Linked DNA regions of Nothobranchius furzeri. The protein of the gene in region 4 interacts with the protein of the main gene of each other region in a biochemical or structural test. Links are inferred from orthologs where the notes say so. Each region holds a gene or a part of one and is shown on either strand. Other genes may lie near its edges.

What was found.
Region 1: the proteins of rad51 (region 4) and rpa1 form a complex in vitro, tested with the Homo sapiens proteins (2 studies listed by BioGRID). The link is inferred for Nothobranchius furzeri from reciprocal best matches to the Homo sapiens genes RAD51 and RPA1.
Region 2: the proteins of rad51 (region 4) and rad51ap1 form a complex in vitro, tested with the Homo sapiens proteins (6 studies listed by BioGRID and IntAct). The link is inferred for Nothobranchius furzeri from reciprocal best matches to the Homo sapiens genes RAD51 and RAD51AP1.
Region 3: the proteins of rad51 (region 4) and rad52 form a complex in vitro, tested with the Homo sapiens proteins (6 studies listed by BioGRID). The link is inferred for Nothobranchius furzeri from reciprocal best matches to the Homo sapiens genes RAD51 and RAD52.
Region 5: the proteins of rad51 (region 4) and fbxo18 form a complex in vitro, tested with the Homo sapiens proteins (2 studies listed by BioGRID, with this or other methods). The link is inferred for Nothobranchius furzeri from reciprocal best matches to the Homo sapiens genes RAD51 and FBH1.
Region 6: the proteins of rad51 (region 4) and sem1 form a complex in vitro, tested with the Homo sapiens proteins (2 studies listed by BioGRID). The link is inferred for Nothobranchius furzeri from reciprocal best matches to the Homo sapiens genes RAD51 and SEM1.
Region 7: the proteins of rad51 (region 4) and abl1 form a complex in vitro, tested with the Homo sapiens proteins (2 studies listed by BioGRID). The link is inferred for Nothobranchius furzeri from reciprocal best matches to the Homo sapiens genes RAD51 and ABL1.

Annotation. Positions count from the first base shown.
Region 1 is NC_091753.1:47,659,301-47,663,428, reverse strand, and holds the start of rpa1 (replication protein A 70 kDa DNA-binding subunit), read right to left. Parts: upstream 2,801-4,128; 5' UTR 2,681-2,800; coding exon 2,651-2,680; intron 2,394-2,650; coding exon 2,346-2,393; intron 2,013-2,345; coding exon 1,934-2,012; intron 1,024-1,933; coding exon 915-1,023; intron 832-914; coding exon 743-831; intron 649-742; coding exon 559-648; intron 1-558. Other genes in the region: serpinf2b (serpin peptidase inhibitor, clade F (alpha-2 antiplasmin, pigment epithelium derived factor), member 2b), read right to left, coding at 3,648-3,997. UniProt on the Homo sapiens protein: As part of the heterotrimeric replication protein A complex (RPA/RP-A), binds and stabilizes single-stranded DNA intermediates that form during DNA replication or upon DNA stress.
Region 2 is NC_091741.1:43,136,872-43,140,988, reverse strand, and holds the start of rad51ap1 (RAD51-associated protein 1), read right to left. Parts: upstream 2,801-4,117; 5' UTR 2,566-2,800; coding exon 2,549-2,565; intron 2,466-2,548; coding exon 2,419-2,465; intron 562-2,418; coding exon 426-561; intron 1-425. UniProt on the Homo sapiens protein: Structure-specific DNA-binding protein involved in DNA repair by promoting RAD51-mediated homologous recombination.
Region 3 is NC_091744.1:73,170,775-73,174,767, forward strand, and holds the start of rad52 (DNA repair protein RAD52 homolog), read right to left. Parts: upstream 2,801-3,993; 5' UTR 2,661-2,800; intron 2,367-2,660; exon of another isoform or gene 2,144-2,366; intron 2,054-2,143; 5' UTR 2,039-2,053; coding exon 1,985-2,038; intron 1,831-1,984; coding exon 1,729-1,830; intron 1,548-1,728; coding exon 1,454-1,547; intron 1,311-1,453; coding exon 1,243-1,310; intron 1,142-1,242; coding exon 1,023-1,141; intron 934-1,022; coding exon 858-933; intron 774-857; coding exon 556-773; intron 472-555; coding exon 290-471; intron 1-289. UniProt on the Homo sapiens protein: Involved in double-stranded break repair. Plays a central role in genetic recombination and DNA repair by promoting the annealing of complementary single-stranded DNA and by stimulation of the RAD51 recombinase.
Region 4 is NC_091743.1:91,861,135-91,865,342, reverse strand, and holds the start of rad51 (DNA repair protein RAD51 homolog 1), read right to left. Parts: upstream 2,801-4,208; 5' UTR 2,724-2,800; exon of another isoform or gene 2,690-2,723; intron 2,392-2,689; 5' UTR 2,305-2,391; coding exon 2,221-2,304; intron 1,288-2,220; coding exon 1,150-1,287; intron 1-1,149.
Region 5 is NC_091741.1:60,824,100-60,828,272, reverse strand, and holds the start of fbxo18 (F-box DNA helicase 1), read left to right. Parts: upstream 1-1,373; 5' UTR 1,374-1,513; coding exon 1,514-1,535; intron 1,536-2,082; coding exon 2,083-2,241; intron 2,242-3,768; coding exon 3,769-4,173. UniProt on the Homo sapiens protein: 3'-5' DNA helicase and substrate-recognition component of the SCF(FBH1) E3 ubiquitin ligase complex that plays a key role in response to stalled/damaged replication forks.
Region 6 is NC_091751.1:26,675,765-26,679,987, forward strand, and holds the start of sem1 (26S proteasome complex subunit SEM1), read left to right. Parts: upstream 1-1,423; 5' UTR 1,424-1,508; coding exon 1,509-1,584; intron 1,585-1,966; coding exon 1,967-2,060; intron 2,061-4,102; coding exon 4,103-4,145; 3' UTR 4,146-4,223. UniProt on the Homo sapiens protein: Component of the 26S proteasome, a multiprotein complex involved in the ATP-dependent degradation of ubiquitinated proteins.
Region 7 is NC_091746.1:53,653,275-53,657,253, reverse strand, and holds the start of abl1 (tyrosine-protein kinase ABL1), read right to left. Parts: upstream 2,801-3,979; 5' UTR 2,571-2,800; coding exon 2,444-2,570; intron 1-2,443. UniProt on the Homo sapiens protein: Non-receptor tyrosine-protein kinase that plays a role in many key processes linked to cell growth and survival such as cytoskeleton remodeling in response to extracellular stimuli, cell motility and adhesion, receptor endocytosis, autophagy, DNA damage response and apoptosis.

The DNA.
Region 1 (4,128 bases), on a different chromosome or scaffold from region 4:
TTCAAAGTGTTCACTCGAGTCCACACACTTTGGCAACCGCTGCACTTCAGGTAATTAAACTCTGAGATCAAGCAGCACACACAGAGAAATGAACAATCCCTCCTGTTGATGAGGAAGATGGCTGCTGCAAGCCTTCACTCCCACATGGCAGATTCCAGGGATGAATGTCTGCTTCGTCACTCGCAGACACAACATAGATGTGGGAGTCTGCAGCTCTGCTACTGGTCTCAGAAATCTGAACGTAAAATTTGTATTTTATTGATCTAATCAACACTCTGACAGTTGGTTGAGTGATTGTCTTTCACAGGGAAAGAACAGGAAACTCCTCCCGATGCACCAACAGGAAGCATAGTTATGGAAACAAAGCACAGATTTTTGTTTCATAAGAGGATAAAAATAAGATTTCTGTACGCAAATGTCAAAATGTCATATAAACCTTAAGATTGCCTAAACCATCAGAAAGCTGCTGCCATCTAGTGGACATTTTGTTTTTTGTCTATGGTCAGCTTTTTCAGCAGAAAAATTAAATAAATATAAAAGACAAAAGCTTGAACTTACCGTCGTTCTTGTTTTGTGCCTGCAGTGGAGGTCTGACTTCGGGGCCTGGAGCTGCAGGGACGGGGCCAGACTGCTGGCCTTTATTCTGACCTACAAACAGAACATCAAGTTACCACAAGCCTATGGCAACACGATGACTCAATAATGAGTCACCTCTGTTTCTCTCACTGCCATTGAGTTTTACCATCAAAGTAAGGAGTAGGGTCTCCAATTTTACCACTGACTTCTTCAGCAGGTTTGATCAATTCGGTTTCCAAAATGATGACCACTCGGCTGCAATCAGATTTTACATCAATTCTTGTTCATTTTTGCTTTTTAAATAGCAAATTTTTATATTTGCTACGAAATCTGCATACCGTCCATCCTTCAGAATATTGGTCACATGCTTCTTCAGAATGCACACACAGTTTGGGGCGAGGATGTTTTCCTCAGCCAAGTAGTTCAACTGAGTGGAAAGCATAAAGGCTGCAAATGATGAGGGAAAATGTTTGGTTAGCTTTACGTTAACAAAAAAAAAAAAACTCACAATGTGCACCTAAACCCTAGCCTAGAGAACTAGAAAAACTGTAGGAGTATCTGAAGATTTATGCTCTGCGGGTTGGTCTAGCAAGAGTTGAGGAGTTTAGAACCACAGCGGTGACAAAGCAAAACAAAGATGGCATCGGCTCAGGAACGGCACTCTTTTTAAAAGGTGTTGGTATCAAATTTGGGCGACTTAGACTTGTGCAGCAGGTGGAGGTACCTCTTCGATAATGTATGGCAGACTGCCCTGTCGAGCGATTTCCGTTGCTGTCAATACGTCACGTTGTTTGTTGCTCTGATTGGTGCTAGCACTGTAGTATTGCAAGCAGAGACCGTTTAAAAAACAAAATGTAGATTCTGCCCCAAGACCGAGCTCAGTCTATGGGTTGTAGCCAGACTATATATCAACATAGCTTGCCAGGCTACCTAAAACCTTTAATGATTGCAAAATAAAACCACAAAACAAATATGCATTCCAGATGTCATTTAAATGTTAATCATGTTGTCGTTTAAAACGCAAATAGATGTGCTGCTCATCACACGATTCGTACACCAACAGTGCTTCAGGGTAAAATTTTCCCTGACAAAGTAAACAAAGGAGATAGTGCCAATTTTTTCCACTAACGAACAAATGTCAAGGTCACAGCTGCCCTGACCTTCTAATTATTTATTTACCAAGAACTATCATGCAGGAAAAATGAGATTTGAGTCTATGAAACTAGACAAATTAAAATTGCAAACGGAGTAGCTTCTCTCTAAAGATGCAGTCTCACTAACACTTTCCATTCAAAAATGATTAAATGCCAAACCCAGGGTCAGAGACTGGTTTGATCCAAATGTATATCATACTTACATGACAGTGTGTGGCGTCCATCACTCATCATCACCCGAAAGCGAGGTATCCCACTTCCTCCCTCTATTTTGCGAATGTTCTAAAAGTTAAAGAAAAAAATAATAAACTCTTGCAATTTAATCAAGAAATCTGCAAAAGCATTTAACTAATGCCTGAGTTACTGATTTGTTGGAATTTGCTGAAGCAGCGTTCTGAAAAAGAGTGTGGCGTTTAATGCCTCTTCTAAAATATATAACGCACAAAAAGCAGCTTCACAAGTTTACACAGCTTTCAATACGTCATGACGGTTAAACAAAGAGGCCGCATGTGATGCGGGCCTTAACCGTGTCAGAACTAAAAACGAAGCCCAAAAGTAAACATGCGTTTAAGAGCATGATACGTTTAAATGGTATTTCACGTTTTCGTTATTTACCACCAGCTGAAGAACTGCGTCATTCCAACCGGAGCCATTAGCTAAAGCCTGCAAACAAAAACAATTAACTTAATGTAACACAGCTGTTTTGTTTTAACAGTAGAAGCATTCATTTTTTACAAAAGATTTCTAAACACATGTACGCTACTTCAAATTATGTTTCAATTTACACCAGCTTCAGTCAATATTAGTTTTTAAGTTTCCATTAACCTCAATGTAAAAAATGTCGCGCGAATGCAAACACATAGTAGGAAAATGCCTACAAAAACACGTTAGCATTTTAGTTGAACTGACATTAACTTTACCTCAATCGCGCCTTCTGAAAGTTTAGGCATGTCTGACGATTTTGCGTTGAAACTGAAGATTACTTTAGCAACTGCTAGACAGACGGTTTTCTACAACTATCACTGCAAACAGCTTGAAGTTTATGCCTGTGGCGCCAACGGCTCAGGCATCGCGCGCTCAATTTGTCGAGTTCCGTGTTGTCGGGTTCCGTTTCCGGTAACAGATCTGACTTCAGTTTCCAAAATCTGTCAGAACAGCAAGGCTTAGAGGTAAATTCTCACTAAACTGACCGCAGACCAGCACTGAATTTCTCAGCGCAAAACTGAGTGACGTTTGTTGCGATGCGTTCAATGACATTTGAAAACAGGAAACACCCGATTTTGTGTTTTCAGCGATTTTTAAAAAACACGGAATGTTAGTATTATGCACAGTTTTACTCGTCGCATAATAACTATATTTGGAGGGGGAAAATTATATTCTAAGAAATTAACTAATTTTACCGTAAGTCATATTACAATAATATTGTAACTCCTAAAATGTGTCACATGGCAAGATTTGAAAAGTATTTTTAAATAACCATTTGATTTAAATGTCTCAGCAAATTAATTCATATCAATACTGATTTAGATAAATTGAATTGATTTAAGTACACAAGAAAACAAATTAAAATATTTTAAGAAAATGCTCAGTCATGCAGTAATGCTCAAACATATGATATTTTAGACTTTACATGTTGACACATTCCACATGTGGTGGAAAATTAAACCATCAAGTAACATGACAGGGACTTTTTTGTGAATTTAATGTTATCGTTTAATTTCTTGACCATCACATCTTATACAATACAGTCATGTAAAATGAATATTCCTCTTAAAATGACTATTGGGCTTTAAAGCATAATTATTTCCTTATGAAACAAACAAAACGTTTTTATTTTCACACATATTTTGATCCAGACTAGTCTGTACAACTGCTAACTCCTAGCTTTCTCTCAAGAAATGGACAGATTTGTATTTCCTATTTAGGACCCCCAAATGAGCTCATGTGATCTTTGTCATATGAGAAACCCATTTTATCTTTGCTTCCAAACTGTCCTTTCTGCAGGATAGGGGCTCCAGGATTAGGATTGTTGATGACACCCATGAAGATTGGTATTTGAGTTACGTCATCCATAAGCACAAAAAAGAAGGGCTTAGTGAGGTGGAAAACTGGAATTGCTGCCCGTGAGATAACTATGTTGGTGGCTGCAGCAGCTTCTGCACCATCCTCATTTATTTCCATGCTTGACTTGTGCATCACACTGGACACCAGCAGGGGGCCGTCTGCAATATCAGCCAAGTTAGGATTCAGGAACATCTCCCCGAGGCCTGAAAAATATAAAAAATAAAAATTACATTTTGAGGCTCAGTTAAGAAAATAACAGTGGTTTTCCCAAATTTTTACTTAAAATTGACATTTATTAAAATGTATCTGCAACATTAATAAAACATCTAAAACT
Region 2 (4,117 bases), on a different chromosome or scaffold from region 4:
ATGTGAGAGTGCATGCAGTGCCCAAAACAAGCGCTATACAAGTTTGATGTATTTTTTAAATGAATTTTCCTCATTCTAGTTTGCAGCTTCCAACGACTGAATGAGCAGCAAAAATCGCCGAAGCACACAACCTTCATTCCATTATCTACCTGCAATCAATAGTTTCTGATCAGCGCGCCTGCTTCTGAGTACTTCAAGGTTGTTTAACTCTGTTTTGATTGCTTGTACATACTGAGTGAGTCCTTTGTCTTTATGTCTAACCGTTTCATCTGTTTATCCTGTTAAGCTAACGGTGTGTCTGTTGCTGCTGCCTCTTGGCCAGATCGTCGTCGTAAATGAGAACGAGTTCCCAATCGACTCATCTGGTTAAATAAAATAAATACATTTCTTAACGCTGTTCTTTTTGGACCAAGCCTGTCACCCACCTGCTCTTCTCACTCTCTGTTGATTTTGAGTCGCTCTCCTGACTGACGGACTTGGTTGAAGATTTCTTCTGCTCCTGTCTCATGTCCTCCTTGTGCTTTTTGCTCGGTGGTGCTTTCACAGAAGCAAAATCTTCATCTGAAACAGAATGAAGATGGAGAACAAACTCTTTATTCACATATGCCCGTCCCTCTCACTACCATAAAATTACTGACGACCCTGATGTTTTGACACGAAGGAACAAAACATAATTCAATTCAATTCAAAGATACTTTATTAATCCCAGAGGGAAATTAGAGTTTCAGTACACACAATTCAGACATCAGACATACATACATAGGTAAAGACACATGACAAGAATTGGTGACTGTGGTCATTCGCAACCCGAGTCACGCTGCCTTAATAGAGATCAGAGGGTTTACAAATGAGGATTGGGTCAGGTGGAGGGAAAAAAGGCACTTCAGAGCTACCCTCCACAGGGAGGGCAGCGTAGCTATGCAAAAAACACCTCAGACAGAAATGCAACAGACTTCAGACATCACACAACATATGTGTCCACTAGGTGGGGAGGTAGGGTTGGGGACTCTCCACACATCAGTGCATGCAGCCGCGATAAGCAGCGCTCGTCACCTCCGTTTGGACAGGGGAGGGAGGTATTTGGGTTTAGAAAGCCCAGTGACTACTGGAAACGATTCAACAGCCTTCACCGGTCGCAGTCTGCCCAGGCTGGGATAGGGAGGCAGAGTTGCCATGGCAAAGGCAGCATTCCACATTTCTTCTGAGGGGGGAGTATTCACTTCAGCCTCACAGGCTCAAGGGCACCAGATTCAGATAAGAGCTTGTTTTGGGGCCAGACAGAAATAATTTCCTCTCTGCCTTAAAGTTCCGTTGGTCCTCAACCTCTCAAAATCCAATAATGGCGTAATTAATCTATCCCAGATCCGTCAACTCTCTCCTTGATCGAATCACCTTCTGTGCCAGAGTCTGAATCTCAGCCAAAGTTCCAAGCTTACGACTCATCTCGACAGTTATACGAGTTTGTGCGTTCACAGCATGGTGTAATCAATCTCTGAGCTCCGGGATTGAGCAGCTTTGTCTAAATTCTATTCATATCAGTGGTCACTGATATGCTGACTTTTTTCTACTCTATTAATGCGAGTCCACAAATTCCAGAACTGAATCTAGAAAACTAACGATAAACTCTTTTCCTGTGGCTTTCCAGGATGGTGGAATGACCTACTGAGAGCTACCGGAACAGGGGCGTCCCTAGAAGATCTGGGCCTTCAGAGAGTATCTTCCACCCTAGCACGCACCTAGCATACATCCCAGAACTAAAGTTTTAACTATGTAGCTCACTGAAAATGTATCCTGTTGTTTTGGGGGCAGCTGCTGACCCTCAGCAGTGGAATACCTGATCATTTTAATGGATCCTCCTGACGAGCGGTGTCCCCCAAAAGGCGAAATCAGTTTTTTAATTATTCTGTTTCACTTAGACCTGTTAAAATTACTTAAAGACACTTCTCAGAGTCTTTATTTTTAATTATCTATTTTTAAGACACATTTAGGTTTTTTTGTATTTTATTTTGAACCAGTAAATATTCAAAAACAGTGTATTGTTTAATTTCTGCGGTTCTGCTAATATGAACAAAACAAGTTCTGGTCTCTGATATGAAGATTTTGATCAAGAAAATAAACGACAACCCTTTCAAAGCCCGCCACTAATTAGAATAGGAATAGAATGAACACCTTTTTTTGGTAAATAAACAGAAGGTAATCCTATTGATAGCCACTATTTTTTAAAACAATGTTAGAGACATAATCACACTAATTTGTTTTTGTTTACACTTGATCGTTCTTAATAGACATAAATAAAATCTGGTGAGTTAAAAACAACAACAACCAGAAAGGGAAGTTGACAAAAACTAAACTGTAACAGTAAATAAACAAAGGTTTGGAGATAAATGTGAGGGAAATGTAAAGTGAAGATTTTCTTACCATCGTCAAAGTCATTGCTTTCAGAATAATTCACAGCCTTTGTCTTTCTGTAAGTAAACATATCGGTTAAAACATTTATATATTTATATATACATATATACAGAACTGGTATTAAGACGTGTCTCCTCACCGTGACGGTCGCTCCATCACGTCAACGTCAGAGATCGGTACCGTGGAGCAACGTAAACAAAGAAGCTAACCTGCTTTGGTTTAATAACTAACTAGTATAATGTGCCTATTTAAAGTATTTAAACGATTAGATTCGGGGCGTTTTAGCTACAAAAGTAAAAAAAACAAAACGCGTCCCATCTCGGATTTCATTTATCCCGCCTGAACTGACAAGAAGTGACGTTGGGTGTTGTTGACCAATCTGACGAACACCGGAAGCTGATTCGACTGAATTTATTTATCGGTATTATTTTTACAAAAGTCCAATTTTAATTTTTTGGATACATATAATCATTGTATTGTTTATAATTATAAATACTTATGATTCCACCACTTTTTATTCAGTTTTTTATTGAAGTAATGTGCGCAAAATAAATTGTCGAATCGGCTAAATTTCTATGTAACGAGTCAAACTTTTTTTATGTAAAACAAAATGGAAATGTTATTTTTTGGGGATATTGTATCTACATTTCCCAAAAGTTGCTGTTCGTTTTTGCCTCGATTAAAACGGGAGTTTTTTATTCGTTTTGGTTATTTTACTATTATTATTTTTATGTCCTCGACTTTGTCCCATGATAAAGCTGAGCTTTAAGTTTTAATGAGCATTCAAGCTCATCTGGTTCATTGTGTACTTCAACTGGAACACCCCCTGTGCCCCCCCTGCACCGATTCCCAAATGACCCCTGACGTTTATTTTATTTTGTTCCGTTTTACTATAGAGCAAGTGAATAAAATTATTAGAACTCTGGATCCCAGAAAACCCTCTGGTCCAGATAGAACCCTATTTTTGAAAATGGCTGCTGATTTCATAGCAGAGACTCTTACAGTTATTTTTACCCTTTCTAACAAAAACAAACCATCAGTTTGGAAGTCTGCTTTTGTGACTCCTTCACTGAAAGGTGGTGACCCAGCCCTAATAATAAAGTACAGACCAACATCTAATCTGTGTGTCCTGGCAAAATTCTAGAGACCCTAGTAAGTAAGCAATTGAAATACTTTATATTCAAATGACCTTCTCTCATGTCTGCAATCAGGTTTCAGAAAAAAACACAGCACCATCTCGGCAGCTACAAAGGTGATCAATGACATACTTGTTGCTCAGGATAAAATGCAGCCTCACTGTTTATTGATCTGTCAAAGGCCTTGGACACTGTAGACCATGATCTTTTAAAAAGCTTCTTTGTTTGGGATTGTTTGAACATGCAATCTCATGGTTCGCAGACTACTTGAAGTACAGAACTCAATGCGTTAAATGTGATGAATTTTTGAGTGTCCACAAGGGCGCACCACAGGGTTCAGTTTTGGGACCCCTCTTGTTCATTAATTAAATTAATGACATAGGACAAAATGCATTGGATGCTAATATGCACTTTTACGCTGTTATATTTTTATTGTTTTAGAAAATGTTGAATTTTTACAGAAAGCTTATAATGAGGTCCAACAAACACTTATGCAGTTACAATTGCTCCTCAGTGCTGACAAGACTAAGCTAATGTTGTTTTCAAACTCTACTAAAAGATCTATAAGTATG
Region 3 (3,993 bases), on a different chromosome or scaffold from region 4:
ACTAGCCACACGCTTGATTTTATAAAAATGGAATGATTCTATCCCTCCATCACAACACCACTGGATCACAGACGGTTATGCAAAATGTTAAACTGGAAAAAATCAGATGTACACTCGATGGCACCATCAATTAATGCCACGAAACCTGGGACCCTTTAAGAACCTATGTTGATAATCTACCGGGCTAACCTGGACCTTTGATCGCTTCCACCTGCCCCATATCAGTCTTGTAACTACTAAAGTTTAGTGCACTTTTTTTGGTGTTCAATGTTAAACATGAAACTTTTACCTCCGGAGGATTTACGTCTAACAGCGACCTCTGCCTCTTCAGAGTTTTCCTGTTTCTGTTGCAGCTTCTTTGCCTCCATCTCTCTCCTGAACTTCTGCTGAAGCTGCTGCTGTCGGAGCTTCCTCAGCTGTTTGGGGTCCGTGTGTGCTTCAGAGACGACATCGACAGAGTTCACGGCATATCTTAGAGGAGAGGAGAAAAGCAGCTATGGTGGATGACCACTTGTAAAAGAGAGAAGCAGATTGAGAGCCGTTTGTAATGTTTACTTGATGTTCTCATTCACCCCGCTGGGAGCAAAGCCAGCAGCTCCAGGGGTGTGAACTTCTGAATGGTTCTGGTAGAATAATCTGGGCTCTAGTGGCATTCGGGCAGGTCCGGCTTTTAAAAGTGAATCTTCCTGGACCAGACTGAAGAGCCGAGCCTTCTCTACTGATGGCTGACCGTCGCACCGTTTAGTCTGGGTCGGGTCAGGAGGAGGAGGAGGCTTTGTGTAGAAGAAGTCAAGTTTTAGAAAATTTTATGGATTTGAATAATCCAATTTAACAAAAAACCTAAATTGCCGACTGACCTGTTTTGGGATCTTGTTTATGGCGAGGAGGTAATCTTTATTTAGGATGCAGTTTCCAAGGGCATTACCAAAACATCTCAACATGAGAAATAATATTTTTGAAGAGTTACACAAATTTCTCGCATGAATCAAAGTTACTAAATATAAATCTGTAAAGGTCTTTACCTCAGTGCTCTCTTCATTCCATCTGTGACAGCTTCCTTTCTCGCCTTTTCTAGGGACAGAGCTTTGGACCTCAGCCCCTCACTCACTCCGTATCCCACATCCTCATGAAACGACCCATCCTAGGAAAGAAAAAACACCAGTTACACTTTACTTCGATTACCTGTAGAGGCTCACAGGAAACTGGAGCTGATGATTAATATTGATGAGACTGTGAGTCAACCTTCAGCTGCACTTTGACAAACGCACTGACTCCTACATTAAACTTCCCATTGATCAGGTCCACAAAGTCTGGAAAAGAAAAAAAGAAGTCATTTTTATAACACGTTAAAACGTAAAATATTTGAAGGATCCATGTGCAAATGATTATTTCTGACTGTTTTTCAGCAAGTAATAGTTTTTAGGCACTTGTTGCAAATGCAGATGAGTCGTACCAACATTCTGCTGGGAAATGGAATGCGACCATCCATTGTATCCAAACATCTCATTGGCCAGGCTGACAACACGGTGGCCTTCAATGTAACACACCTGTTTAAAACAACACTATTAGATCATTACAATACCTTTTTAATGATCAGTAAATTCAAATCCCATCAGGAGACTTGGGTTTTGTGCTGAGACATGTTTTCTGCTCAAGCTCTGAATCTCAAGCTTCATGAATGAAACCAGGCGTCTCACGTTTTTGTCACAAAGTAAAAGAAACACTTGCTTTTTGTCCCCCTCCAGCCACTCTGGAACTGATGTACTCTGGTCCAAGTTTCTGTTGCAGGGCATTTTGCACCGCCTGGTACTCCTCAGCTGTGTAGGTGCACTGAAAAAGTCAAACAAATTCATCTGACAAAACCTGAGCATCTGTGGGATTAAAACACTCATTATTTATTAATCTAATATTATAATTTAAGTGTAATTCGATTGAAAATTCATCTAAAATAGTTTCGAGTTCTGCAATTGTTTGATTTATTTACCTGTCCGAAGTGCCTGGATGACGTTGGGATGCATCCCTCGTTGCTGCTCGTCATAGCTGTGCAGACATACTGAAACACACATAGAGCAAAACGAAACAGTAACACTCATTAGTGTCTTCTAGGCTTTTGAAACAACATTTAACAAAACAAATGCTTTACTTAAACATAGAAGTGACTCGTTGGGTTTAAGCTTTAGTCTTCGTAACTAGCTCAACCTAGCTAAAAGCTGCTAATAAAAAAACGAGTAAACGTAAACTCACTGCTTTAAATCCAATAAATGTGGTGTTTACGTCAAATTAGCACGAAGGTGTTAGCTAGTTTAAATTTACAAGCAACTTCCCGCTTGGCTCACCGGAAGAGGCGGAGCCTCGTGCTGCCTTCCTGACAATCGGAAAATTAACCCTTCAACATTTCTGCAGAGACACCATTACCTTTTTAATAACAGAATGAGAGGTATTTTTTCCTAACGATTCCGGAGAAAATGTATCAACATAAATAGTAACAAAATAAAGTTGAAGTTAGAAACGAAACGTAGTGATAGTAGTATTCAAAGTCCCACAGTCATCACACAGTGGTGGCGATCTCCGCATTTGACCCATCCAGTGGGAAGCGGCATTATTTGGTGGTTTAACCCATATATATATATAATGAATAACATAAATGGAAACCGTGTTACCTTGCTCGGACGTGGGTCACCGGGGCCCTCCTCTGGAGCCAGGCCTGGAAGTGGGACACGTTGGCGAGTGCCTGGTGGCCGGGTTTTCACCCATGGAGCTGGCCGGGCACAGCCCAGAGAGGAAACGTGGGTCCCCCTTACCTGGGCTCACTACTCGTGGGAGAGGCCAAAGGGGTCAGGTGCAGTGTGTGACGGGTGGTTGTCGAGGGCGGGGACCTTGGCGGTCTGATCCTTGGTTACAGAAGCTGGCTCTTGGCACATGGAATGTCACCTCTCTGGTAGAGAAGGAGCCTGAGGTGGTTTTTGAGGTGGAGAGGTTCCAACTAGATATAGTCGGACTCACCTCAATGCATGGCTCTGGCTCCGTAACCAGTTTCCTTGAGAGGGGTTGGACTTTCTACCACTCTGGAGTTGCTCACACACACACACACACACACACACACACACACACATGTGTGTGTATATATATATATATATATATATATATATATATATATATATATATATATATATATATGCTGTTATATGCTGTTATTGGTTTAAACCCCCCCAATCCAACCCCTTAATGCTGGGTGTCAAGCAGGGAGGCACTGGGTCCCATTTTTTACCCTCCCACTGTCTTTATGGGTGACCCTGCGAGGAAAGTTGACCATTGAGCAGGATTGATGGTTTATCCCTTGGGCCCATGTGGCAAGGGTGAGGGCAGCGGGAGGGTTAAAGACCCAGGCAGACACTCTACTAGGCCGAGAAGGTAGTAGTAGTAGTAGTAATAGTAGTAGTAGTAGTATCGCTCTGAATTAAGTTAATTTTGTTTCTAGATTAGACAATAATTTGGATTTCTGTTGGACATTTTAAAATGTGATTTTAGTTATTTTAGTATTTTTTTTACATCTTTTTTATTATGGTGAACCATAATGTTTGTGTATGTTTACGGTTCCTGGGTCTCTGTTGTCGTTACATCACATTTTAAAATATGAAATACTTTCGCATCCCTTCAAAGTTTCATTTTTAATTCCAGTAATACAATTTTTTTAAAACATTTTTATTTACATTCTGGATAATTCTATCACGGGTTTCCAGCTTCAGAAACACGGCCACTAGCTGTATTCAACGGATCTATGAATTCTGCTCTATAAGAAAAATCCTGAAAGAAAATATCCGCCATTGAGCTTAAACAAGCTGTTTTGGTAAACTAAAACAAATCTGCACAGGCCAAAGATCCCCCATAGCGATGATCTGCAGTTATTCCATGCTTAATTCAGTCACTTAACGTTTCACAAATAAAATTATGAATTTTAAAATTCATTATTTTATTTGATTGTTTTTAAATTAC
Region 4 (4,208 bases):
TCATTTACTCAATAACCTCGTGTTGGTGACATCACAGAGGGGGTTAAGGTGGACCACTTCAGATGAAGCCTCTGGTTCTAAACTCCAGACAGTCATCTCTACGTCACGCGCAGGAGCCCCCATGTTTACCTGCACATATCAGGTGCAGGGATTCCCCCAGCACTTTATATATAGTCATGCCCCGCCCCCCTCCCCGACCCTACAATGTCCGCTGACACAAACGGCGCAACAAAACTAGAGCCCTCATCAGCGCTGCGGGACGGTTTGTCATGTGTGGCTTGGTGTGATGCATCTGGGTTCAAGGATGTGCATCGTAAAACAAAGCCTGTTGTTCTCAAGAGACTCGTTTATGCTTCTGCGTCATCTCCACAGGTTGGAGACGCACACGCGTGTTCGGTCTGCTGCTACACGTCTTCAGCTTGCTTTATGGTTCTGAGAGCACAATGACAATGCTGTTGACGAAAGCGGCGTCCTGACCAATCGCAAGCTTGTGTTCTTCATCTCGTTGAGAACATTTTCTTCAGAGAGTCAGTGAGTGAGAAGGGCAGAGAGGTTTTTCAATGTAACATCTGTTAGATTTTAAAGTCCAGACTCTTTCCCTCTGGGATTAATAAAGTATTTTTCAATTGAATTAACAACACGCTTCTGATATAGTTTTATAACGTAGCCTAGGGATGTAAGGAAATATCGATATGGCAATATAGCTTGATATTTTTTCTAGTGATATTACATCCATATTCAAAAGCTGTGAGTCTAATTTTTGAAAGAATTTACATGCAAACTTGTGTATTTGCTTTTATTTTGGTGCGATGCAAACGCTGACCGCTAGATGGCAGCAGTGTGCAATGGGTTTCCTATCCACCATTGAAATGTAAATCTCTATTATGGTTCAGATACCTCATGTTAAACATGTTATGTATCAGTTTGGACTGTTTATTGAATTTTCCTACAATAAATTCAGTCAAAAATAAATAAATAAATAAAAATCGCTAATGTCCTGAATGTATCGTGATACATATTGCATCACCATAATTTCACCAATTTAATTTCACCCTAGTGTTTAGTGTTAAATAGGTGGTGTTGCTGCCATGGATCTCTTCTCTCCTAGAAGCATATTAATGTCTCAGAGAATAAAAATATGCTCCTTACTAAGATTTTGTCTGCTTTGGCCTCGCTGATGCCCTTGATGTTCAGCAGCTCCTTCTTCGGTGCATAAGCCACAGCTTCGATGGTGTGGAAACCTGCGTCCTCCAGCTTCTTGATGTCACTGGCACTTACGCCACATTGCTGCATGAAAAGACAAGGACCAGTCTAGTATCATTCCACTGAGTCAGGAAAACCAGAGCCCTGTACAGACATCACTGACCGAACCGACCTAAAGGAGCACAAACGCTGTTCCACATCCACAGTAGCAGGTAATCAGTGATCCCCTCTCAGAAACTACTGGAGCTGCTGAACTGGATCATAGACTAAAACCATAACAGGGTTCTTATAGTGACAAGCTCTCAGGTGAAACAGCGCTCAGCTTTTGAATAAACCAAAAATAATAATAATGATCATTTTGAGCTTAGAGGATAAAACAAGACAACATACAGCTAAGATCTTTGTAGGGAGACTCTGTAAAAGGTTCTGACCAATCACTGCCTGGCTCTTTGAGCCGACTCGGTTTAGAGAAACAGATTAGTCCTGACCAGATTGATGAGCTAACAGCTAGTCCAAACAGGACAAAGACCAAAGTGGATCACTGCCGTCATCAAACAGCTCCGTTTTGTCTGAGATAAAAGCACACACAATACGATACTGAAGGGTCCTGAATAAGAAGTTAATGTGAGCTGCAGATTTTAGTTCCAGCTGAGAAATGACCACCGTCAACAGAACCTCTTCTGCTTTTAAAGAGAAGACAAAACTCTTCGCTGGTGTGTGAGAGCGGTTCTGGGGTCATGTTCGTGTAGGTAGCACCTGGCAGCTGGTATCTGAGAGGTTACTACTGTCTGATACGTGTCCTGTAGGACTGCATTTACAATTCAGATTGGACACAAAGGAGACTTCTTGTCCTAGAGTGAAGCTGACAGCTTCACCTTTAATGTGCTTTGGTGCATTCACATTTACGTTTACTTCACGTGAATCATAGGAAAAACCTGTAAAACATCCATAAAACAAGTCAAAGTTCGAGTGAAAGAAGACCAGAATAACTCAGAGGGAACAAGTCAGGAAACGAACCTCCAGTCTGCTCAGAGGCTGTGGGCCGAAGTTCTCCTCCTCCTCCACCTCTGCCTCCACTGCTGTTTCGCTCCTCATCGCCATGGCAGCTGGATCAGGCAGACAGGAGGGACGCAGACGGTGAAACAGAGCACAACTCTGTGTGGTGGAGCTCAGAGTGTTTTAACAACGCTGTAAAACACAAGAACACAGAGCCAACGTTCAAAGATTGTGATTGAAATCAAAGCTAAAATATAAAACTGCCATCATCTTCAGTTACAGATGTCCACCTCCTGAAAAGAGGTTTCCTGGCAGTTTTACGCAGGCAGCCAGCTAGCTTAGCATTAGCACTGTCGCTGCATCTGAAGTGGCGTTAATGTCTGTAAACTGCTGACAAACCTGCTCAGACCAGAGATAAGTCTGATTAAAACTCACGCTGCGGTCTCGTAAGCTCGTACACATGATACTAGACAGCCTTTTACTAACGTACCTGCTCGATAATGCCGTACTAGCTAACGTTTTACCTGCTTCTTTCTTCTTCTTGTTTTTATCTCGCTTCTCTCAAAGGTCCCGCGCGCACAACAACGCGATGACGTTTAACGTACAGTTCGCTTGCGTGAAACAGGATATCTCTTTTCCCGTCAAAATAAAAGCATATAGAGCTTTTTTCTTCTTTTTTTATAATCTATGAATTATTATAATATTATTATACTATAATATTATCTATTATCTATTATTATTATCTATTATTATTATTATTATTATTATTATTATTATTATTTATAATAATGTGATTTCTATAAAAGCAATTTAGCTATCTAAAATGCAGTCATCGATGCATAGAATAGCAGACAGTTTTTAGAACATAATGTTAAATCTACACCAAGGTAAAAGTAAGAGTATGTTGCTGTTGCTTTTATTAGTTATCATAAAAAGATAAACCATTTGGCACTGCACAAGACTATGAATCTGTTAATCCATCACATGATTGTACTGAGGTCTGCAGGTGGACAAAGGGCAGTGGTGAGTGGGGGGTATACAGATCTTAGTGCTCCAGCGTCCAGCATTCACAGAACATTACCAGGATATAAACAATGCCACCAGCAGAAACAAAAGGATGACAGCAGCCAGCTGTTTCTCCTAAATGAAAAGCAGGATTTATTCTGTAAAATAATCCTCAGTTGAGAAACAAATACAAAAGAAAATTCCTTTATTGTCCCCAGAGGGAAAATTTAGGTGTCCGTTCATCTATCTATTTTCAGCTGCTTATCTGGAGTTGGATCATGGGGGCAGCAGCCCAAGCTGAGAGGCCCAGACTTCTCTCTCTGCAGCTACATGGGCCAACTCCTCCGGGGAAACCCAAGGCATTCCCTGGCCAGCTGGGAGACATAGTCCCTCCAGCGTGACCTGGGACTTGGGTCTCCTCCCAGTTGGAAGTGCCCAGAAATGCAGGGAGGGGTCCAGGAGCATTCTGACCAGATGTCTGAGGCCCTGTCCACACGTAGCCGGGGATCTGCCAAAACGTAGATATTTTTCTACGTTTTGGCCTGTCATCCACACGAAAACGCATCTTTTTAAAAACTCCGGCCAAAGTGAAGATCTGCGTTTTCTCCGTTTTGGGTGTCTGCGTGTGGACAGACAAAACCGGAGTTTTAAGGTCCGCAACGTCACTTTCCGCGACAAAAAAATGCTGACATCACGTGTGCGACCTGTGTTTACACTAGCCGACAGCATGGATGCCCTCAGAGCTGCGCTCGCTTTATCAATTGTCCAAGCGCTTTTTGCTTGTTTGTTTTTGCAAGAGGAATTACTGCTGCTTGCGGAAGACCACAGACGAAGGACGAGGTTACGAACGGCTATTGCCCGGCACCTGGCTTCTTCACGTCCAAGGCAGGTTTTTCGGCAAAGACACCGACGCAGGTTCTGGGTCAGACCGGGAAGGACTGCCAGTTGGTGGGAAAACTTCGAAAACTACAGGTCTGGCATGTCCTTAACAACGTATTTATCCG
Region 5 (4,173 bases), on a different chromosome or scaffold from region 4:
TTGATTCAAAGTGTCATACTAATCAGCTAATGTCAACACCTGCAAAGGGTTCCTGGAGAGGCTGCCTTGGGCGAGCTACCCGCCAAAGCAGCTTGAATCAATAGAAGCTCAAAACATTAAAGAAAACGGATCATAAATATGACTTTGAAAATAATTGTAATCAGTGGTGCTCCCAATGGGTGGGCATGGCCACCCTAGAAAATTGCTGGCCCCTCTGGGAAGACCAGTGTTAATAAATCCTAGTAATGTTCACTCAAACCATAAATGTATCTCATTTATTCAAGACATCAATGTAACCCCCCCCCCCCCCCCGAAAAAAAATTTATACAATTTATAACGAAATAATCTGAATTTTGAAAAAAATGATCTGTTTCTACTGCTCACCATTTTAAAAAGTTTATAGTTCCATAGTTTTTGTGAAGACAGCTACAGGAATTAAACTAAAAACAGAATTCTAAAATCTATTTTGAAAAACCATAAATAATTTTTTTTATATGTTTGTGTCTCAATTTAGAGTCAAGTGTTTTGGATAGCTCTGTCAGTGCGCCCCAGGGCAGCTGTGGCTATGTCGTAGCTCATCATCAACAGTGTGTGAATGTGTGTGTGAATGGATGAATGCTACACTGTAGTGTAAAGCGCTTTGGAGTCCTTACTCTGAGAGGTGCTATACAAGTGCGGGTCATTGATCATTCATTTAACATTTTATACATATTGTTGAAAATATAAATAAATAAATAAACACGAGCTAAACTGTTCCAGAGTTAACACAAGGGCCAATTTGGTGTGCCACGCAAAATTTTTATTGGCCACCCTTACCAAATTTTTCTGGGAGCGCCCCTGATCAAAAACCATGTACTATTTTATCTCAAGATAAAAATTACGAGGCGCTTCACAAAAACACCAAAGTTAAGGATTATTACATTATTAAAAAAAATATTATTTACATTCAGAAAATGTGAATAGAAAAAGAAAAACGTAATCGTGGGATCCCAAAAAGACAGAAATGACAAAAACACCAGCATAAAAAGTAGCAGAAATGGGTTTCCGTATCAAAGCAATCTCTATGAGATGACTCCTCCATAAACATTTTATACATAACATGTCAACCATTCTAAGAAATGACCAGCAGGTGGCGGCGTCATCTAATAGCCAACCTCGAAAACCCAAAGAAGAACCAACCGACCAATCAGCTGGCAGGAACATCCCAACATGTTTTAGGTTTCGAACTCAAAGCAGAGGGGCGTTTGAAGAAGAAGAAAACGTGAACTGTAACGTTTTCTTAAAGAAGAGAAACAATTAGCTCAGCAGAGGTGGCTTGTTTAACTTTTCGTGTTTTGTTGTTTTGCACTAAACGTACGTTTCAGGACAAATGAGTATAAATAAGCTAGCAGGGGTTGTTTTGGGTTCAGTGTTTTTCTTTTAAAAGTTATTTTCGAAAACTTACTCGGTTCAGCAGAGGTTTAAATTTGCGTGACTCGATCCTGGAGCTCGCGTGGTGGATGTTTTGGATACAATGATGGAGGTTGCTTCCAAAGGTGAGCATGAACAAAAATGTCATTGTAGCCTACTTGATTCGTTTGTTTATGTTAAGCAGCAGGCTGATAAATTGGTCGGATCCAGGTGCTTGTCTGCCAAAAGCATGTTATACGTTATTCGCAGTTTAAATCAAATCCTACAATTGTACCACTAAAGACACAGAGTTGTCTGACTTTAGCAGAAGGTTGTCGTGTTTAACCCGCTTGAGTTGGTTTAAAGTTTTCTGGGTTTAACATAACTTGAATATATATTTTTATAAGAACTGGACAGCTGTATCTTTATAGCTAAAATACAACGTGATGCAGTTGCGATGAATATAAATATAATTTTGTGAATGAAAAAAATGTTCCCCACATTATAATCGATTTTGTTTTGTATAATTTGCTCATAACTACTTAACACTGTGGAATTTCCCCTTTGCCAACAGTGGTAAAAACGTCCATCTTCCCTCTGGAGGGTCGGGTCTGCCTCCAGCAGCGTGTGATCAGTTTTTGCCACAACACCTGTTGTAGGTTTTTGTGTTGTAACGATTGTTTGTGTCACCAGGAAAGGCCAAGCGGAAGCACCTAAGTGCCGGGGACTGTAAACAGCTGGCACAAAATGCAGACTCTCTTACCCAACCCCACACATCCAACCACGGGCTGAGACACCATGACCACAACCAAAGGCTTCACCCCAGGACCCCCAGAAAACGACGGTGTTCTGGTAAGCCACTGTAAACCTGCTACAGACATCTAAACACACCTTTTTTCTTTTTGAGCGTGTCCCTTCCTCTCCACAGCCAATCATCTGTCTCCATTTTGTCCCATCTTCTGCGTCCTCTACCCTCACTCTTAACTAACCTCATGTCCTCTTTCACAACATCCCTAAATCTCCTCTCAGCCTGGTGGCTCCAACCTCAGCATCCTTCTACGTATATCATTATTGTCTCTCCTCTGGACATGTCCAAACCATCTCAGTCTGTCCTCTCTGGTTTTTTCTTTAAAACATTAATTGTAAGCTGTCCCTCTGACTGACTCAGTCATGATCCCACCCATCCTCGTCCCTCCCGAAGAGAATCCGCCTCCTGTCTTTTCTTCACGGACTCTGTCTCTAAATCGGACACAATAGATGGTCTCACTACTGTCTTGTGCACATCAGTGTAAAGTTTCTACAGTCAGTGATGGTGTCAGGTGCCATGTCGTCTGCTGGTGTTGGTCCATTGTGTTTTCTGAGGTCCAAGATCAACGCAGTTATCTACCAGGAAGTTTTTGAACACTTCATGCTTCCTGCTGCTGACCAACTTTATGGAGATGCATATTTACTTTCCCAACAGGACTTGGCACCTGCACACAGTGCCAAAGCTACCAGTACTTGGTTGATGGACCATGTTGTTGATTGGCCAGCAAACTCACCTGACTTTAACCACATAGAAAATCTGTGGAGTATTGTGAAGAGGAAGATGCAACATGCCAGGCCCAACAATTCAGAAGAGCTGAAAGCCACCATCAGAGCAACATGGGCTCTCATAACACCTGAGCAGTGCCACAGACTGATCGACTCCATACCACGCTGCATTGCTGCAGTAATCCAGGCCAAAGGAGCCGGCTTACAGCCTTTTTTTGCATTGGTCTTAATTAATAATCTAATATTCTGAGATTTTGAGATTTTCATTAGTTGTCAGTTATAATCATCAACATTAAAATAAATAAACACTTGAACTGTATCAGTCTGTGTGTAAAGAATTAATCTAATATACGAGTTTCAATTTTTGAATGAAATTACTGAAATAAAGCAACTTTGTCATGATATTCTAATTTGACCAGCGCTTATATAGAATTCTTTACCAAGCTAGCAGAGAGGTGCTTTGTTCTTGTAGCTGGTGATCGATTGGAGACAATGGTCTCTGAGACAGTGGTGCAGACAGAAGCAGGGTCATTAGCTGTGAGCTGTTAAGAGCTTAGCAGCACACGGTTGTTGAACGCTCCTCGCTGCCCTGCTAAACCTGTTCTTTGCCTCTAAACAAGTTCTCAAATCACAGGGTGTGATTGGCCCAGTGCAGCGCCGGGTGCAGCGTATGCAACTTTAACAGTAGTGTAACAGTGATCCAAGTTTCTCCGCCCTCTGGTGTCACTTGTAATAAACTGATTATCTCCGTAGTTTTTGTTTGAGCCTAGTTTTGTTAAAATCAAGGAGTTGGGCCTTCTGTTCAGCTAACTCAGTGTTGTTTTTCTCCTTTTCTCTTTGAAACAGCTGCTCCTGCCTCCCAAAGCCCCTCTGGGAAGCAGAGAGCCATCAACGACTACTACTGTGTGTCCAAAGTAATCAGTTCCAGTCCTCAAAAGTCCTCTCTGCCTTCCACGTCTACAGTTCCTAAAGAAGGCTCTAAGTTGGTGGAAGAAGAACAAGATGATGATGATGAGAGCCTGTTGTCTACCCCGTTGGAGTATGAGCCAAAGGCAGAAGATGAGGTCGATGACGACTGTCTGCTAGCTGCAGAGAACTGTCCCTTTGAAGAGGCCAGCGCGTCAGGTGCTAGGATGATACCTGAGCGTGATGGGAAGGCAGAGGACTATCTGGAGGGGATGACAGCTGAAATGTTTGGAGCTGATGGGGAATTTGATGAATGCTGTAACCAAGAGGAAGAGGTGGAGCCCC
Region 6 (4,223 bases), on a different chromosome or scaffold from region 4:
CGGGCCTAACGCCGCCCCTGCCTACTGGAGTTTAGTTTACCGGTATTCATTTTAATTACAACCTGACCTGAACCATCATCGTCTAATTCAGGTAACCGTGGTCACTGACACTGAAAATAAAACAAATGACACCACATTTTAATGTCTTCTATGTAATTATTTATATAAATCTTAAATTAGATCTATGTAATACGACTGTTATCCTTTGGAATAAAGAACAACGATGCCTTCATTTTGTTAAAGTTAATTGTTGTTTTGAATGTTTGTTAGATAATCGTCAATGCATTTATTAAAAATGTATATTTAATCTTTTATTGACCAGGTGAAGTCTATTGCGATCAAAGAGACTGCAAGAAGGCAGTATCTCTTATCATGTGTTTACATCCAGTATTTAGTTATTTTTAACTTTCTAAGTATTTCTGCAATTGGTTTTCTTGATATTTACTCTTAATTTTTTTTCTTTCCTATTTGCTCAATATAATGAATGTTATTGATTCAGTGACACTATAAGCTCCCTACTGAGGGACAATAAATTGATATTCTATTCTATTCTATTCTATTCTATTCTATTCTATTCTATTCTATTCTATTCTATTCTAAATAAGGTAAAAGTTAGAAATAGCTCAAATTCAGCGTGATCCATTAAAAACATTTGCACACAAAGCCGTCTGTAAGTGATTTTTGCTCTTGGTCTGCTCTCTTTTCACGTGTCTGAGCAGAACCTCCCTGAACCATCTGCAGGTGGTTCAGAACGCCTGTGCTCGGCTTCTGACCAACTCCTCCAAATATACCCACATCATCCCGCTTCTCCTTCAGCTTCACTGGCTGCCAGTCAACTTCAGGGTTCATTTGAAGATCCTGGTTCTGGTCTATAGGGCCTTACATGGACAAGCACCATCTTACATTGGTGATCTTCTCTGTCCCTACACCCCCAGCAGGTCCCTGAGGTCCAGTGATCAAAGCCTAATGGTTGTGCAGTGCACCAGGCTAAAGACCAAAGGTGACAGATCATTTGCTGCTGTGGCCCCCAGACTCTGGAACTCTCTCCCCCTGAGGCTGAGATCAGTGGACTCAGTGGTCTCCTTTAAAAACAGCTGAAGACTCACTTGTTCAAGCTGGCTTTTGTATGACCTTCTTCACCACTCTCTCTTTATTCTGCTCTCCCCACCTATTCCACCTTCCTCAGGATCCACTGATTTCCCTCTTTCCTATTCATTCTCTCTCTTTCTTAACATTTTTTAATCACAATTGTCTATTTTTGCTCATTTTAAATATATGTTTAACCATTTTCTAAATTCTTTTTTATTTTTGTGAAGCGCCTCGTGATTTTAATCTTGAGAGGCGCTATAGAAATGACATTTTCTCCTTCTTCTTAGGAGCTGCGCCTCCTCCTGCGCTCCCTTGCGCAGTAACAACTCGCGTGAACAGACACAGATTCCCAGAATTCCGTTTGCGCGTGTGGAACGGAAGCATTCATTAGCAAGCAGCGGCGGAGTGAGACAGATAACATGGCAGACAAGAAACAGACCGTAGATTTGGGATTACTAGAGGAGGATGACGAGTTTGAAGAATTCCCAGCTGAAGGTAAACCAGCCACTTGTTATTTAGCGATGTAGTTTTGTTTTAGCGGATTGTCGCTTCTGAGCCTAGCTACGATGACTCAGCTAGCGTTAGCCTTAGCTTCGGTTAGCTGGGAAAACAGCAAGGAACTGGTAGCTAGCTCAGCAAAACGGATTATTCAGCTTAGTAGATCTTTTTGTCTTGTAATGCGGAAACGTGCTTGTATTATATCTGTGTAGTTGTACCGTTTTGATGTTTCACCACCTGTGTTCATTAGCACGCATTAGCTAACAGTGTTACGGAGGAAAACGAGAACAGGTGAAACATCAGCTCATGTGGAGGGTTTTTAAGAGTGAATCTATAGGTTACAGCTATATTTACTGACATGCATGCGTTGTTATTCCAGATTGGACGGGGTTGGATGAAGATGAAGACGCTCATGTTTGGGAGGACAACTGGGACGATGACAATGTGGAGGATGATTTCTCTAATCAGCTACGGTAACCCTCAGATTCATGCAGGATTGAACAGACTCTGTGTAAATACTTTAGAGTGTACTTTTATCTAGGTGAGCAAGTCAACCCGAAACCGTTAAACTGGCTGTTTTATCATCATCTCACGTGGCTGGTGAACAGTGGTGTTTATGACTGTTTGGTTCTTGCTTCCACGTGAGCTCTTGATTTCCTGTTTTTTTTATTTTATAAATGATACCTGAAATGTTCTTGTTCAGATTGTTGTAGAAAACTAAGTGTTTAGATAGTTTTGTTGTGTACAGAGTGTTTTATGAGAAAACATTAAATGGCAACATAATATGTGCCGTTTTATTCTGTTGAGCCATTGCTGTCCACCTGCTAGTTAAAATAAAAATATATTCCACACCAAACTTACGAGCACTCTGCCACATTTCCCCCTCGCTCCAACGAATTATCCAGCATAAACTCTCTAAACTTCAGTATCAGCACCAGATGTTTAGAAAACTAAATCGGGACAATATTGTTGTGCAGTTCTCAAGTTTTCTGTTGATGTGGATAAAAATCTGCAGGGCCTGAAGTACTTTGTTCTGTTGAAACGTTTTAGCTCAGAAGTTTCTTCATAGTTCATGTTGTGTAAGCAAAATGCTTTTAAACAACATGGAAAAATTAGGGATGGGTACCGAATTCGGTACTTTTTAAGGTACCGACCGAATTCCATAGTACCGGCCGAGCACCGATTCACTTCATTTGAAAGGGTGCCTCGTTTCGATACCCGTCCTTCACAACGAGTACTTGCCTAGACAGCTGCGCATGCGCAAGAGCGTTATGTCATCGGTCCCTGCGAGCGAGTTGTAAACAGAGCAGCATGGTAGAAAGAACGAACGCTAAAGCTTGGGTCCACTTCACTAAATGTGATGGGTAACTGGGTGATGATGAAAACAGCGACAACGATCTAAGTGAGACATCCTCATCTTAATCTGCTCCGGTAGGTAAATAAAATGTAAGATAACGTTAGCTTGATTTGTTAGCTTCCGTTTCACTAATGGTGCGTTCGCTTTCTCCTCGGAACTCCGAAATCCCGACTAGAAGAACATGAACGCGCTCTAAAGTTTGGCTTCGCTTTACTAAATGCGACGGGTGATTGGGTGAAGATGAACCAGTGACAACGATCTAAGTGTGAGGCATCATCGTTTAAATCTGCTCCAGTAGTTAAACTGTTTAAGATAACGTTAGCTTGATATGTTAGCTTCCTATGCCACCATTGTTATCATCTAATGGTGCGTTCGCTTTCTCCTCGGAAATTCTAACTTCCCAGTAGGAAAAATCAAATGAAAAAGGACGGTAAAAGGAATGAAGATACACAGTAAATTTAGTTCACAGTAAAGATGTTTGCTTCAGTTTAATTATCAGCTTATAAAACTACAAGGACGATGTTAAAATACAAACTGTTATATGTTATTTATCGTGATATTTATCAAATATGGTTATGAATTGAGAAAAATATATATTTAATTATAAAAGAGAATCAAAATATTAAACACTCAAAAGTATCTAAAATTGGTACCGTTAAGTACCGGTATCGATTCCTAGGTAGTGGTAATTAGCACCGAATCGATTCAAATGTCAAAGGTACCCATCCCTAGTGACATTACTATGGGCTTAGTGTTTGGATTGATTAAAGCGCGTTTCTCCTCAGGGATGGGACTGATGATGCGTTTTAGGCCGACACACAGAATCGATACCAGCTGATAGATGCGTGGCAGCTCTGTTTATGTTTGAGTACACTCAGGACAGCAGAATGCTGTTGTATTTAGGTCAGTTACAGTCGCCGTACTATTAAGTTGTTTCTTAAAGATATCATTATTGCGTAAGGGCACAGCGGCCATATGTGTGTATAATCATTAAATCCATGGCTGCATGCGTTATCTAATATTTATGTATTATTATTTTTTTCACTTCCATCACTTAATGGTTCTTACAATCAATAGCCGAGGGTACTTGTGCCCCGGCCGCCCACCTGTAATCATCTCTGCTGACTTGATCTTTTATTTTCCTTCTCCTCCCTGCAGAGCGGAGCTGGAAAAGCACGGATACAAGATGGAGACGTCGTAGTGGCTCACGGAGCCTTCCGCTGGATATGGACTCTTATTGCTGGGTCGTTCACCGCCCCGCTTTTCAAATGTTAATTAG
Region 7 (3,979 bases), on a different chromosome or scaffold from region 4:
TATTCATTGTTTCTTTTAATGGTTTGTAATATGGGATAAACACATTCACTAATTTTTTATATAGTAAAGTCAGATGTAAGACTTCACTTTAACTCTAGCAAAACCTTGTGAGGCTTCATATCTACCACTTTTTCAACTCTGAACTGCTGTAATAACCCAACATTCCCTCCAATCTGACAGCCAATCAAAACAACGGAAGACTTGCTATTTGCCCAGGAACAGAACAGGTTGCTTGCTTTTGCCACTGCCACGTCACCTCCCGTGTGTCAGGTTATCAAAGCAATAGCGAAAAGTTTCACTTAACGCAGTCGTTTGTTGCCTCTGTGTGTCGAGTCCATAAGTCATACTCTAGGGGGAAAGCTCCAGTGCACCATTTCCAGGAACTAGAAGTGAGCCACATCACTGCTGAGTTTCAGACGGCACGTTTTGGAGTCTTATTTCCTGATTTTTGGATATCATGACCGGATTAGATAACAGCAACGTGGCTACCACTAACTTGCAAAACTGATGTTTTATCTCCACAAATAACACAAATTTGAAGGAGTTCTGCTGTGTGGTGGAGTTACTAATGCTAACAGTTAGCTTCTACTAGCCAAGCCATTTTTTGCCCTTTCCTGGACGTTAAAACCAACAACCTTCCCTGTCACGAGTCATGGTGGGTGGGTCCATGAATGTTGTGTCAGTTTGACGTAGATCTGTCAGGCTTTTCAAATCCTATTTTCCATCAGAAGCTAATGCAGAAGATAGGTGTAAATACCATTTCCATGTTCAGCCTGCAAGAAAAACTCAGACTGACCAATTATCATCAAAAATAACAGGGCTTTACCTGCGTTCAAATTTGCGTGGCGGCCGACTCCAGCTAATTTTGTGCCGCCCCAGCCTGATTTCACTCTGCCCCCAGCTATATGGATGTTATTGTAACTGCAGTTGCAGCATTGCGCCACTACAGGGGCGCTGTATCAGCAGCGGTGCACTGAAACGCGCTAAAACCACTGCAGAAAATGATCAAAAATAGCTTTTCTCGCTAGTTGGTACATATCTATGTTTGGTGCTACTGACGTCCTGATTTTCCCCCAGGCACTTCTTCCCTATCAGAGCAGGGGTGTACAGTGCAACGTAAAACATTGTGTGTGTCTGTCTATTTTTCAATGTAGCGCTGGTGCAACATCTTTGAATTACTATTTACTGCAGAACGTTATTGAACAAAAGTAAGAAAAATGCTTTTCACAGGTGCACAGTGTGATAATCTGGATGCAGTGGAGGAAAATAAAGGAACCAGCAAAGGCACAAAGGCAGAACCGGTCCAAAGTTTGGGATCAAAAGTGCAGCTACATGCAGATTGGCTAATGCTAAAGCTAATGGGTAGCAGTCGCACGATCAAGTGGATATATGATGATCGTAAAACAAAGAAAGACTAAACTCAACAAGTGGATGAAAGGTCCCCACCATCCTGTTTATTCTGCATCCTGCAGCGCTATGGACCAGAACCGCTGCAGATACGAGTTACACAGGAGCAGGATGTAGTGCAAGCCATTGTAGAATATAATTAACAAACGCTTCTATCTTTGAACATAATTTAAATTGGATTATTGCCAACCCGTACATAATAGACATGTTACCATTACATTGTTAGCAGCAGAAAATACAAGTTATTATCATTTCCAACACAAATGCATGTTAATGAAATGCATTATTTTTTACTGGATATATTTATGTGTTATTTTGACTAAGATGAGTGTTATTAAAACAAACCTAAAATGTTACTGAAATGTAGGTCAAGTATTAAAAAATATTTCAACTATAAATATCAGATGGGAAAATGGGAACTAAACACCAATCTAATGCATATTATTGAGCCTTTTATAATAAGAGTCTGTTACTTCAGCCTAAAAATGTTGTTTTATTTCATATTTTGAGCAGCAAACCAGTTTTGTTTCACTTGAGATGTTGTCAAATGGAATATTCTATTAATCAACAGAAGCTTAGATTAGATCACTTAACGAAAATATATTTGCCTTTAAAAAAGTGAGGCAGTTGAATGCACAGAGTATGCATGTGCTGGCGCATGGTCAGGATGGTACCACCTCTGCCTCAATTTGAGCCAGGAAAAGCCCTGAATAAGATTTTAAAAATGTTTTTTTTAATGTTCCACACCATTAAAATGTTCTTCATCTTGCTCTTGGCTGTTCTAACATAAAAGGGAATTCCTGTCCTGTCCAAACAGAATACACACAACTTTGTTGCATTGCCACTAGATTAGAGAATAAATATAAAATGTTGATTGCTGTAAATAAAACTGGATTGTCAACTTTTCCTTCTTAATATTTAGATGACAGAGAAGTTTAGGCCAATGCCAACAAGATACAGGGAGGGAAAAAGTGTCTGTCAACTATGACTGCAAATAAACCCTTACAGGAAATTTAGAAAAGTGTTTCGATCTTACCATGCCTATCGAAAACATTCCAGGGCTGGCTCACATGGCGTGATGACTCTCTCTTTCCCCCCTTAATAAAGGCTGGCAAACTGGGTCTCCTTTGGTCCCCTGCAAACTTCCCCGGCTGCTGCCCCATAAGGCCAGGGTGCCAGGCTGCAGCCGGGACTCTCCAAGCCAGTATCACTTGCTCACCCTCCAGCAAATGGGCTCCGGGCAGGAAAAAGTTCAGGAGAAATCAGGAGGCCTGTTCCCCGACTTGGACAGTCCCCACTAAAAAATGGGTGATTCAAGTCTGTTGGACGGATCTCTCCAGGATGTCCCTGTGTATCATGCATTTATAGATTCTGGGCCCTTCAGATGACAAGATGTTTGACAGGAGTCTAGGGGAAAAATAATGGATGACTCAATGATTAATTCAAAACGATTAAAACCCACAAATTATTCAAGCAATTGACATTCAAAATCATTCTCCACGGGCTAGTCAAGCATCCCTCATATATTGAACTGTAGTTTTATCTGCTGTAGTGAAACACCATCCTTCAAAAATGTATTCATATTTTGACAATTAAATGATTCTGTGTACAAATGAGTGTAAAATTATAAAAACCAACAAAGCTGTTCTATAAGTATTCGATTTGATGGGTTCCACTTCCAATATTGTTTTTAGACATGTCTGAACAGGAAAGGGATCACTTGGTACACGTGTATTGATTTACTGTGACTATTCAAACAAGAGTCAACCCAATAAAAACAATGCCAGCACAATTCCATCCACAGCATAAGAGTCACTGACAAAGTCAAGGATCACCTAAATCATGGGTGTTTCCTTCTCGTTCTATTAGTCAATTATCATCATTTTTATCACACAGACAACTTTAAAAACATTACCACACTCTGGTTATATTATTTCTATACTGATCTGAAGTAAATCGGTGAGATTTTTTATTAAAAAGATTTATATCCCAAGGAAGGGATTAATCAGGGGGCTAGATTTTATTTTCCGAAGTCAGAAATGTCAATAACTAGCCCTGCTGTTAAAAGGACAGATTTTTAACACTCGTTTAACTTGAATTCTTATAAGAGTGTAAAAAGACGAAAAAGCAAACTTACACGAGCAGAAAAACTGCGAAATATCTGGTTAGCCGGCGACCTCCAGCTAACGTTGAAGATAGCCATGAAGCTAACCGACGTCTGCTGGTGGTATGCACATCGGCTCGAGTCAACAGTTGGCTCGCGCTGGTTCTCCGCTAATATCCTCGGACAATTGTACCAAAATGTCTCCCAAAAAGCACATGGAAAACATATTTTCCCATGTTGCAACCAATCTCAACAAAAATCACAAGTTTCTTTTAAACTTCCGCGTCCACTTTTCCCATCTTTTGGAGCGTCTCCCCCTCTGGAAGTCGAACTAGACTTTAACCAAGAAGACGAAGAGAAGTTGAGGGAACTCTTCCGGGCCGGACACAAACGCCTCCTTTTGCAAATTATTTCTTCTGTTTACAGCTTCTGAACTCTTCTTTGCGCTGTCCTCTATTTGCGTATTTA